2 linked regions of the Xenopus tropicalis genome follow. The protein of the gene in region 2 purifies or fractionates together with the protein of the main gene of each other region. This does not show direct contact. Links are inferred from orthologs where the notes say so. Each region holds a gene or a part of one and is shown on either strand. Other genes may lie near its edges.

The links.
Region 1: the proteins of rhobtb1 (region 2) and cops6 purify together in Homo sapiens (affinity purification with mass spectrometry; 4 studies listed by BioGRID and IntAct, counting the BioPlex papers as one, with this or other methods). This does not show direct contact. The link is inferred for Xenopus tropicalis from reciprocal best matches to the Homo sapiens genes RHOBTB1 and COPS6.

Annotation. Positions count from the first base shown.
Region 1 is NC_030679.2:144,242,134-144,246,259, forward strand, and holds the start of cops6 (COP9 signalosome complex subunit 6), read right to left. Parts: upstream 2,801-4,126; 5' UTR 2,780-2,800; coding exon 2,728-2,779; intron 2,460-2,727; exon of another isoform or gene 2,373-2,459; intron 1,369-2,372; coding exon 1,243-1,368; intron 1,152-1,242; coding exon 1,020-1,151; intron 1-1,019. UniProt on the Homo sapiens protein: Component of the COP9 signalosome complex (CSN), a complex involved in various cellular and developmental processes.
Region 2 is NC_030683.2:16,840,452-16,849,055, forward strand, and holds part of rhobtb1 (rho-related BTB domain-containing protein 1), read right to left. Parts: intron 4,470-8,604; coding exon 4,284-4,469; intron 3,249-4,283; coding exon 2,293-3,248; intron 1-2,292.

The sequences.
Region 1 (4,126 bases), on a different chromosome or scaffold from region 2:
GAACAGCCCCCTAAGTTTGCCCATAGCCTGTACAGAGAGATACCTTAAAACTATGGCAGCATAGGGATTCCCCTGTACTAAGCCCAATTCAGCAGGAACAGCCCCCTAAGTTTGCCCATAGCCTGTACAGAGAGATACCGTAAAACTATGGCAGCATAGGGATCCCCCTGTACTAAGCCCAATTCAGCAGGAACAGCCCCCTAAGTTTGCTCATAGCCTGTACAGAGAGATACCATAAAACTATGGCACATAGGGATTCCCCTGTACTAAGCACAATTCAGCAGGAACAGCCCCCTAAGTTTGCCCATAGCCTGTACAGAGAGATACCGTAAAACTATGGCACATAGGGATTCCCCTGTACTAAGCACAATTCAGCAGGAACAGCCCCCTAAGTTTGCCCATAGCCTGTACAGAGAGATACCGTAAAACTATGGCACATAGGGATTCCCCTGTACCAAGCACAATTCAGCAGGAACAGACCCCTAAGTTTGCCCATAGCCTGTACAGAGAGATACCATAAAACTATGGCAGCATAAGGATTCCCCTATACTGAGCACAATTCAGCAGGAACAGTCCCCTAAGTTTGCTCATAGCCTGTACAGAGAGATACCATAAAACTATGGCAGCATAGGGATTCCCCTGTACTAAGCCCCCCTAAGTTTGCTCATAGCCTGTACAGAGAGATACCATAAAACTATGGCAGCATAGGGATTCCCCTGTACTAAGCACAATTCAGCAGGAACAGCCCCCTAAGTTTGCTCATAGCCTGTACAGAGAGATACCATAAAACTATGGCACATAGGGATTCCCCTGTACTAAGCACAATTCAGCAGGAACAGCCCCCTAAGTTTGCTCATAGCCTGTACAGAGAGATACCATAAAACTATGGCAGCATAGGGATTCCCCTGTACTAAGCCCAACATTTTTAGGTGCTATATAGTGATTAAAAGATGACCATTTCCATATTGTGTGTGGGAATTATAACATGTACGTGCCCCTAGTGGCACATAAGCACTTACATTGCTCTTCCTTGGTGTAATAGTACTCTTTATTAATGGTGATCTTTTCTTCGTTAATCTGAGAAAGCAGCTCAAACGAGTTCATCACCTCAATGTTTCTGCCCTCCTGCTTCCCGATTAGGGCTCCGATAACTGTGGGTGGGAGAGGGAAGGGGGGTCAGTAAGTGGGTGAAGCCTCAGGATCCATAGGAAGAAATGAGAGGAAGGGATAGTGGCACATTACCCTGCACCGGGCGCCCCTCCTGGGATCTCATGCGTATCCAGTGATCGGAGATGTTCAAGATGACGAGGGGATGGAGCGCAACTGTCACGCTGCCAGTTACCCCCTGCGCCATGACAGTGGGGAAGGCTAGGAAAGAAACGACAAAATGTTCAATAACAGTTCTAGTAAAAAAAATACATAGGGGAAGTTTGTACAATAATATCAAAAAAAGCTACCTTCTATACTGTGGGCATTTATCATATTCTACACATTTAATGCTGCTTTCCTAGTACAGAAAGTTCCGAATTAGGGAAAGGCCATCTTCTATAGACTCCATTTTAATAAAAGAATTCACATTTTTGAAAATGATTCTCTTTTCTCTGTAATAATAAAACAGTACCTGTACTTGATCCCAACTAAGATATAATTACCCCTTATTGGGGCAGAACAGCCCTATTGGGTTTATTTCATGGTTAAATGATTCCCTTTTCTCTGTAATAATAAAACAGTACCTGTACTTGATCCCAACTAAGATATAATTACCCCTTATTGGGGCAGAACAGCCCTATTGGGTTTATTTAATGGTTAAATGATTCCCTTTTCTCTGTAATAATAAAACAGTACCTGTACTTGATCCCAACTAAGATATAATTACCCCTTATTGGGGCAGAACAGCCCTATTGGGTTTATTTAATGGTTAAATGATTCCCTTTTCTCTGTAATAATAAAACAGTACCTGTACTTGATCCCAACTAAGATATAATTACCCCTTATTGGAGCCAAAACAATCCTATTGGGTTTATTTAAATTATTTTTTAATAGACTTAACGTAGGAGATCCAAATTACGGAAAGACCCCTTATCCAGAAAACCCCAGGTCCTGAGCATTCTGGATAATGGGTCCTATACCTATAAGATATTGTTACATTTGTTTTGGACCAGCTATGGTCACTCTTTTCTCCTCATAAAGTGACAGGTCTGGCTCATATTACCAGTGAATAGTTAAACAAACAGTATCTGCCCTCAGGTGTTTTCTCTGACAGAGCAGAAGGCTTTGCCCTTTGGGCAGCCATGTTTGGCCCTGGCAGAAATACAGCCAGACTGTAATACACAGGGAAGCATGTAATAGTTCAGTCATTATTTTGGTTACACATGATTTTCCTGTCACAACTCAAAGTCTGTATTTATGTGAATACTCCCAAGAAGCCATGTTGTTCCCTCACACACATAAAGCTTCACTTCAGCGCTTCACGTTACTGCGCGCCTGTTTCCATTGATTGACGTTTGGCACAGCCAATGGCGCTGCGCCACTCATTTCCTCCTTATCCGGACAACCAGTCCACACGCTATACAGGCAAGCCCGCATCCAATGGAGACCTATAGGCTTCACTGTAACGATTTCAGCGTAAAGCCGGTGTCTTCCTGTGTATTTTCATAAACTCCATATGAGAGCGAACTGTTTTGCTCCTGCTGCATTTTGCAATAGCCAAGCGCTTTACATACTCACCGGCGACGTCCACCTCCATCCCGCTGCCGTTCGAAGCAGCAGCCGCCGCCATCTTGCTCCACCCTGCACTGTGGCTCTTTACTAAGCTTGCGCATTTCCCAAGGTGCCTTTCGGTTATCATGTGATAGCCTGGCTTCCTAAACATGTCAGTCACACAAGGGGGTCTGTGGCAATGTTGGCTATAGGGCTTAAAGGGATTGTGTCATGATATTTATGGGGAACTTTTTATTTATTAAATGACACTGTTACACAGCAAATAATTCCCTCTGCCATTTAACCTTTTATTCTTGAACCAACAAATGTATTTGTAGCTGTAATATTGGTGTGTAGGCGCCATCTCAGTGCATTGTGCCTGAGTCTGAGCTTTCAGCCAGCGCTACACATTAGAACTGCTTTCAGCTAACCTATTGTTTCTCCTACTCCCATGTAACTGGAGGAGTCCCAAGCCGGACTTGGATTTCTTACTATTTAGTGCTATTCTGATACCTACTGGGAGCTGCTATCTTGCTCCCTTCCCATTGTTCTGCTGATTGGCTGCTGGGGGTGAGGGGGGGGTATCACTCCAACTTGCAGCGCAGCAGTAAAGTGTGCCTGAGTCTGAGCTTTCAGAAGGAGCAAGTGCTACACATTAGAACTACTTTCAGCTAACCTATTGTTTCTCCTACTCCCATGTAACTGGAGGAGTCCCAAGCCGGACTTGGATTTCTTACTATTGAGTGCTATTCTGATACCTACTGGGAGCTGCTATCTTGCTCCCTTCCCATTGTTCTGCTGATTGGCTGCTGGGGGTGAGGGGGGGGTGGTATCACTCCAACTTGCAGCACAGCAGTAAAGTGTGAGTGAAGTTTATCAGAGCACAGGTCACATGGCTGTGGTACCCTGGGAAATGAAGAATATGGCTAGCCCCATGGGAAAAACAGATTACAATGCAGGATTCTGCTCTATTAACTGATGGGTTTTGTAACAAACATGTTTTCCCATGTCAGTGTTCTTTTAAATTAAGCCTAGACCTTATACAAAAATTCAGTCTCTCCCGGGGGATATATGGTAAATGCTAACTAGTGACTTGCCGTTTCATGGAGATAGTAAGTTATGTATAAACAACCCCCTCCCACAGTTTGTTGTGTCTGTCGAACAGATACGCTGATGGGTAATCTGTTCCCCCGTGCTCTAATGAACTACTTTTTTCCTCCCAAAAGTGCTCGCAAGAACCAGGAAGTTGGAAGCTGAAATTAGTTACAAAAAAAACATGGATTTTTTTTTTCCAGTTAAAATAATAGGCAGAAATTGTGTTGTAATTTAATATATTATAATAATCTGTGCCCTTTGCCTGCTTCGTTGCAGCAGTTTAAGTGCACGTTCGCCACTAGATGGAGCAGTATGGGTGCTAATAAGTAAG
Region 2 (8,604 bases):
GGATTCACAGGGGTATGACAGGAGCAGGGCTATGTTTAATAAGTCCTTAAAAAGTTATTGTTTACAATATGGAGTTATAAAAGGAATTTAAAGGTGCAGGGCAGGGTGCAAAGTGCAAAAAATGGGTGCAAACCACCTTGTTCTTTGCACACTTGTGTCCTGCACTTTTCTGAAGTGAACGTGTCCCGTGAATACAGTGTTGCCTGTGTTCAGCAATGCTGTATTCATGAAGGGAGGGAAGACGATGCCCCTACTCAACCCTAACTTGCAGAAATGAGGAGGCAATGGTGGGCACTATCTGCCACAATCTGCCCCAGGGCCAAACGACCGAATCAGCCTGAATTCACCCAATATAGCCCACCCGTAGGTGGGGGATATAGGGAGATGATCCGCTCGCTTGGCGACCTTGTGGAACGTATATGGCCACCTTAAGAGGCAGAAACAGCTCTGCACTACTATTTAACCCTGATCTCTTATGCAATAAACTAACGTATGAAAAACAATGCGCTAATCATAAGAGCGTGTTATTAAAATAACGCTAAATGGTACATTGTGGCCTGTCGGGTCAGTGCCTAAAGCCAAACATTAAATCAGGAATTGCAATTTCCCATTAAATTCACTTCAATCTGCCATAGAAAAAAAACTGTTGGTGCGGCATTAGCACCCTTTCTGCCTGCTTCATTAGCTTCATAGCACTCATAGCCTCATAGCACAGGCCTCACACTGCTATTAAAATGCAATCTGTCTTTTTAGATCTCGGGGGAGAGTATTTTTAGACTGACTCTTGATCGGGTTAATGATGAGCGTGAATCAAGGTGAAGGTGCCACCTTCCTCCAATCGGAAACAAAGGAGAGCATATTGCCGAGGCACACACACCAAGTGAGCAGCGCAGGAAGGCATTTTGTGCCCCAAATGGAGCATAGACACCTGATTTGTGCCATGAAACAGCTCTGCTGTCATTCGAGCTGAGGGGGCGGTGGTAGGCGCGTAGGCATCTCCCCTTTCATACCCTAACTTGCAAGGTGCAGAAGTAAGGGAGCACCCACAGATGCAGGCTGCAACAGGGCCCTGTCCTTACCACCCCTGCCTTACACCCGCTGGAGTGGATATTAAAATCACAAATAGAGTTAGTTGGCAGGCACATCCGGATATCAAGGAACAAAAAAGTTGTCAGGAAGCAGCGTTGTAAAATAAGAAGTTTATTTATCCGTACATAAAAAGCAAAAAAATAGGTAGCCTTACGCGTTTTGTACCAAAGGGTACTTAATTATCAGCCTATGATTAAGTACCCTTTGGTACGAAACGCGTAAGGCTACCTATTTTTTTGCTTTTTATGTACGGATAAATAAACTTTGTGAGTTCTTATTTTACAATACTGCTTCCTGACAACTTTTCTGTTCCTTGATATCCGGATGTGCCTGCCAACTAACTCTATTTGTGATTCTACTATTGGCTCCCTAAGCTGACGGTCTGGGGCATGAGCACCTGGACCCATCTAGATGAAGGGTAAGATTCTCATTTGAAAATAAGCTCTAACTGTGACCCATAAGTGTGATTTACCCACTGGAGCCGCACTCTGCATAGAGTGCAGAGCTCAACCAGTTTAATGCCAGAAAAAGGGTTTTATACCAGTACTGGAGATGACGTTTTAGTCATGTGATAAGTGACATAACTAAGAATTGTCTGAAATAGATGACATCATTAAGCATAGTCTATTAGGATATAATCTATTCTACAGTTTCATAGTTTGGAGCAGCCATAGTTTGGATTTATCAGAATGTATATTTCCATAAATATATGGTTTTCTGAGATCAATTTACTGTTTGGGGATTACTGTTGCAGGCAGTTTGTTAAATTGGTAGGGAATATTTTCATTTTGGGATCTTTATTTGCCACATACATGATAATCCTATGCATATAGGCCAGTGATCTCCAACCAATGGCTCAGGGGCAACATGTTGCTCCCCAACCCCTTGGATGTTGCTCTCAGTGCCCCCAAACCAGGGAGTTATTTTTGAATTCCTGACTTGGGGGCAAGTTTTGGTTGAATAGAAACAATATTTACTCCCAAATAAAGCCCCCTGTAAGCTGATAGGGTGCATAGAGGCTGCCTAATAGCAGCTCCTACATGAACTTTTATGGTGCTTGTGTTGCTCTCAAAGTCTTTTGATATTTAAGTCTGGCTCACAAGTAAGAAAGGTTGGGGACCCCTGATATTGGCCATCAAACTGTGTGGCCTTTATGTACATATGTAACACTAAAAATGAAAGTTTAGGTTTCATGAAACTTACCTGAAAAGGTGGCTTTGGAAAGACACTCCTTTATCCTATTTGCTTTTCGGACGTGGAATGCTTTTGTGATCTCCTGGTTCATAAAGGCTTCTTTATTTGTAATATTTTCCACCATCATGCGCAGGTCGAAGACTTCCAGAATCTCTGCGATCTGTGCCACTCGCATGAGACCTTTTTCGTTTTCGTCCAGCTGTCCCGTGTAAAGGAACCTCAGGACGGTTTTGAAAGGCCCATACTGTATAGAGGAATCCATTCGTATGACGGTCATTGGACAAGGTCTGTTTGATACGGGGTTGACCGTCAGCTCTTGGTACATGCTGTGGAACCCCTTACTCCAAGAAGACAAAGAGACGCACCCGTCCTCGCTCAAGTCCGTCGTCAGCAATGTGTCGTCGCTCCTTGATGTCCGTAGACAGGCATTTGCCGGTTTCAAAGTAGCCACATCGCCGTCCTCATCCGTATCTAGGCTTAATGTCCTCATTAGCAAGTCCTTGTTGAGCTTCTTGCAGTACCTGTCGGCGGAATGGCGGGACTCTTCATGTTCCATTAAAAAGAGATCGTAGAACTTCGAAGAGGAGGTAGCAAGGTAAATTTTATGAGCAAAGATCTTTTTTTGGTCCTGAAGGACAAATAAGACATCGGAACACAAAGGGTTGTCCAGCAAGTCGCCGGCATCGTTCATACTGGCTGAAGGGGTCTCAGGGATTTTAATGACTGGCGGCGGTGCTTTAGGAGGAAGGAACGGAGCTTGCAGTAAGGGTCTCTGAACTTTTTTCAGGTGAGACTTCCAAAACTGGAGGTGCCGCCTTGAAATTAACGCTGCCCTGATGGCATTATCGAACACATCCTTAATGCCAAACTGGTCAAAGACGCTTGTTTCATAGTAGGGTATCCCGAGTTCTTTGGCCACTTCCCGACCTTTTTCTGGGGGCAAAATATCGCCTCTTTTTATTGGCCTACAATGGTAAAGAAGAAGAATATTGTCATTATAAGAATAAAAGGAAAACACAACTATTATTATTTATAAAGCACCACATATTCCTATTCTTATCAGTCCCTGCCCCAGTGAAGCTTACAATCTCCTTATCATATTCACACACCAGGGTTAGTTTTATCCAGAGCCAATTAAACTGCCCAGGCCCAGACTGGCAATCTGTTGGTTCTGGCAAATGCCAGAGGGGCTGCTGAAAGATGCCATATAGAGTCACAATTTAGTGGGCTGGTGGGGGGGCTGTTTGGGCCTCTGTATTTTGAAATACCACTCTAGACATGAACCTGTCTGTATGTGGAGCATAGGAAGAAACTGGACTTTCTGGAGGAAACCCTTGCAGACATAGTAAGAATATACAGACAGTGCCCTGGCTGAAATCGAACCTAGGGCCATTTTTGCACTGCTGGTAACACAAGTCAGCCTGTTATTTTTCACAAGCCTGTTAATCAGCTGACCCAAAACTCCTGCATAGCATGGGGCCCCTTATTCTCTATGTCCGGCCCTAGCCATCCATGCTAGTATGCTGCTTTATATAATTAGTTACTGGGGAATATTTGGCTGAATAACCACCCTAAGAAACATCTCTAGCACCTCTGGATTTGATAAGCAAAGGTTATTTTTGTTTTTCAATGCGATTTTTCACACCTTCACAAAGACAGATGCCACGAGGGATCATATCAAAACGCCGGCACATTTGAAAGGAGAGAAAATTGGTTATTAGCGAGTTCAGGGAATGTGTGAATTTGTCTCGGGATTGATGGATTTGGCAGCAGGAGATAGATATCCTGCTCTCCACTCATCTGCCAACTTGATTAGATTGGGATGCTTGTACCAACGCCATTCTACAGTACAATGGGAACAACACACTGGGCCACGTCACTTGGTGAAAGTAGAAATGGAGCACACAGAAATCTCTGCACTTCTAACTTTATCAATGGGATTGAATGACAAAAGTGAAATATATACAGTAAAGCCAATCCAGTGCAGAAGAAAACAATACCTGGCTAATGGCCGCCTTGCTCGATTGACTGCCTCGAGGTCGGCGTATCGCAAGTCCAGCTGGCACCCCACCAGAATGACTGGCGTACGGGGACAGAAATGCTTGATTTCCTGAGCCCACATGGTTTTCACATGGTTCAAGGAGTTCGGGTTGGCGATTGAAAAACACAGAACCACGACGTCCGACCTGTTGAAAGAGAACAGAAACATGCCTGCGGATAAGCTAATCTTTTCATCAAATAATGGATTATTACAAATTGCTTTAATTATGGGTTAATTAATGGCTTTGGCGCAGAGGGCCACACCCACTATCTGCTGCATGCCACCTGTAGCCATCCCTTAAAGGAAACTATAATATCCAAGTAAATCTCCTGCCTACAGACAAGGCAGGGGCTGATCTGTGTAGCTTTTGGGTGTACCCCTTTATTGACTAGGTAATGACCCTATAACATTGTGTAGCTTTTGGGTGTACCCCTTTATTGATTAGGTAATGACCCTATAGCACTGTGTAGCTTTTGGGTGTACCCCATTATTGACTAGGTAATGACCCTATAGCACTGTGTAGCTTTTGGGTGTACCCCATAATGACTAGGAAGTCACCCTATAACACTGTGTAGCTTTTGGGTGCACCCCTATAATGACTAGGAAGTCACCCTATATAACTGTGTAGCTTTTGGGAGCACCCCTATAATGACAAGAAAGTCACCCTATAGCACTGTGTAGCCTTTGGGTGCACCCCTATAATGACTAGAAAGTCACCCTATAGCACTGTGTAGCTTTTGGGTGCACCCCTATAATGACAAGAAAGTCACCCTATAGCACTGTGTAGCCTTTGGGTGCACCCCTATAATGACTAGAAAGTCACCCTATAGCACTGTGTAGCTTTTGGGTGCACCCTTATAATGACTAGGAAGTCACCCTATAGCACTGTGTAGCTTTTGGGTGCACCACTATAATGACAAGAAAGTCACCCTATAGCACTGTGTAGCTTTTGGGTGCACCCCTATAATGACTAGAAAGTCACCCTATATAACTGTGTAGCTTTTGGGTGCACCCCTATAATGACTAGAAAGTCACCCTATATAACTGTGTAGCTTTTGGGTGCACCCCTATAATGACTAGAAAGTCACCCTATATAACTGTGTAGCTTTTGGGAGCACCACTATAATGACTAGGAAGTCACCCTATAGCACTGTGTAGCTTTTGGGTGCACCCTTATAATGACTAGGAAGTCACCCTATAGCACTGTGTAGCTTTTGGGTGCACCACTATAATGACAAGAAAGTCACCCTATAGCACTGTGTAGCTTTTGGGTGTACCCCATAATGACTAGGAAGTCACCCTATAACACTGTGTAGCTTTTGGGTGCACCCCTATAATGACTAGGAAGTCACCCTATATAACTGTGTAGCTTTTGGGAGCACCCCTATAATGACAAGAAAGTCACCCTATAGCACTGTGTAGCCTTTGGGTGCACCCCTATAATGACTAGAAAGTCACCCTATAGCACTGTGTAGCTTTTGGGTGCACCACTATAATGACAAGAAAGTCACCCTATAGCACTGTGTAGCCTTTGGGTGCACCCCTATAATGACTAGAAAGTCACCCTATAGCACTGTGTAGCTTTTGGGTGCACCCTTATAATGACTAGGTAGTCACCCTATAGCACTGTGTAGCTTTTGGGTGCACCACTATAATGACAAGAAAGTCACCCTATAGCACTGTGTAGCTTTTGGGTGCACCCCTATAATGACTAGAAAGTCACCCTATATAACTGTGTAGCTTTTGGGTGCACCCCTATAATGACTAGAAAGTCACCCTATATAACTGTGTAGCTTTTGGGTGCACCCCTATAATGACTAGAAAGTCACCCTATATAACTGTGTAGCTTTTGGGAGCACCACTATAATGACTAGGAAGTCACCCTATAGCACTGTGTAGCTTTTGGGTGCACCCTTATAATGACTAGGAAGTCACCCTATAGCACTGTGTAGCTTTTGGGTGCACCACTATAATGACAAGAAAGTCACCCTATAGCACTGTGTAGCTTTTGGGTGCACCCCTATAATGACTAGAAAGTCACCCTATATAACTGTGTAGCTTTTGGGTGCACCCCTATAATGACTAGAAAGTCACCCTATAGCACTGTGTAGCTTTTGGGTGCACCCCTATAATGACTAGGAAGTCACCCTATATAACTGTGTAGCTTTTGGGTGCACCCCTATAATGACTAGAAAGTCACCCTATAGCACTGTGTAGCTTTTGGGTGCACCCCTATAATTACTAGGAAGTCACCCTATATAACTGTGTAGCTATTGGGTGCCCTCCTTAAATGACTAGTAAGTGAACAGGAGTTATGCAAATGTGTCTGACACATAAAAATGCTGCATTAGGGGTAAAAATGTCATTTATGTCATTTAGTAATTCTGTATATGCGCCTTTTGGTGTAGCATTGATTTTAGCAAACCTCCTACAGCGCCGCTGTGCGCGGAACATACCGACTGTGCCCCAAGCATTGTATCCGCTGGTGCCGGTATCCATCTCCCTAACATATTCAGCCCTAATAGATTTGCTCATTTTGTATTTTTCTCCGGAATGACAAGGACTTCACGCCAGACGCAGGGTTTCTATAAATAATATGCTAATGCCACAGCACTGCAGGTTGCTACTCGCAATGAGGAAGAGAGCGCGTTTTGTGCCAAATATAAAGCACAGCGGCAGGTTCCATGCCTCGGAGATGTGCCAACTAGAGTGGCCCTGGGATGCTTGGATATAACAAATCCAAATAAACTTATTGCTGTAATCAATTGTACGGAACGCAGGGACAAAGGTTGCTGGATTGTGTAGCCCTTACACACACACACACACACAGACGTCAGTGACTCCTCACACTAAACACAATAATCTAGGGCAGGACTGTCAAATCCTATTATGGGGCAAGTTCACCTAAAAATAACTTCTAGATAAAAACAAAGCTAAGTACTGGAACTTTGTCTCTCCCATGTATGCATTACCTCCCCCCCCCCCCGGGAAAGGGGCCCCAGCCTTCGCCAGGAGCCCAACATCTCTAAAGCTGGCCATATATATATACATATATATATATATATATATATACATATACTGTATATATATATATATATATATATATATATATATATATATATATATATATATATATATATATATATATATACATACATACAGATGTAAACTCAGTTTCATATGATTTTCGGATGTGTGGGTCTGAATTATTGTCCCAATAATTTTCGTACCATGGCGATCAGTCGTTTAGTCCAGGGGTCCCCAACCACCAGGCATGGCAGTGGACTGGAGCACACCCACCCCCCCCCCAGTGCGTCACATGTATTACGCGCCCCGCCCCCCTCCCCTCTTTTTGCTTCCTACCGGGCCGTGGTGCTAAAAAGGTTGGGGACCCCTGGTTTAGTCAATCGGCCTGGTTAGAAAATTTCGGGTAACGATAATGCATGTATTGTGTATCGGGCGATATCCTTGGGGGGGGGGGACCTACAATGGAAGTCACTACAACTGGTGTCTGACATCTATTTAACCGTGTGACCAATATCCGATGTATGGACAGCTTAACTCTCGGCATGGCTAGATGCCCAATGCTTAGCATTGATGTAAATAATAAACCCTTAATTAGTTAATTGTCCCTCCCCAAGGATCACTCTGCAAGCAATGAGCTGGGAGTCCTTCATCCTTATACCATTTAACATTCAAAATTCCATACCTGCTGCATTAACATGCACACACCATAGCACACACTACGACATGCATAACAATGGGACCCGGGGAAGGTTCTGGCAGTATCTGAGATATGTCTACACAGATGATGAAGGCTCTATCTGCCGGACATATCCATCTGTAACAAATTTATTAGCTTCCAAGGCACCATTTAATTCCTATTAATGCTGTTGCTAAAATGCATTGTATGTTGGGGTTTCTCCCCTTTACTTTCCAGGGGCAGGCATAAAAATGATATGCACTGTCTCACTGTCAACACAAAATATGTTAACTACAGTAAATGTAAGAAGTGTAAGAACCTTCTGTCTCCAGATGTTACTGGACTAAAACACACACATATATTATATATATATATATATATATATATATAATGCTGCTCGGCCAATTAAGCATCTGTGCTAGTAAATCAGCCTCTTTATCTCAAACAGGTCGCACTTAAAGGTTGTGCCAAACCAGACGTGGCTCGTGGGCGTCTTTTTCAAACACTTCAAACCCAGTGACAATTTCAGAGAAGCCAAGAGAAACCAACAGTGGCCTCTGCCAAGAAATAAGAGTAC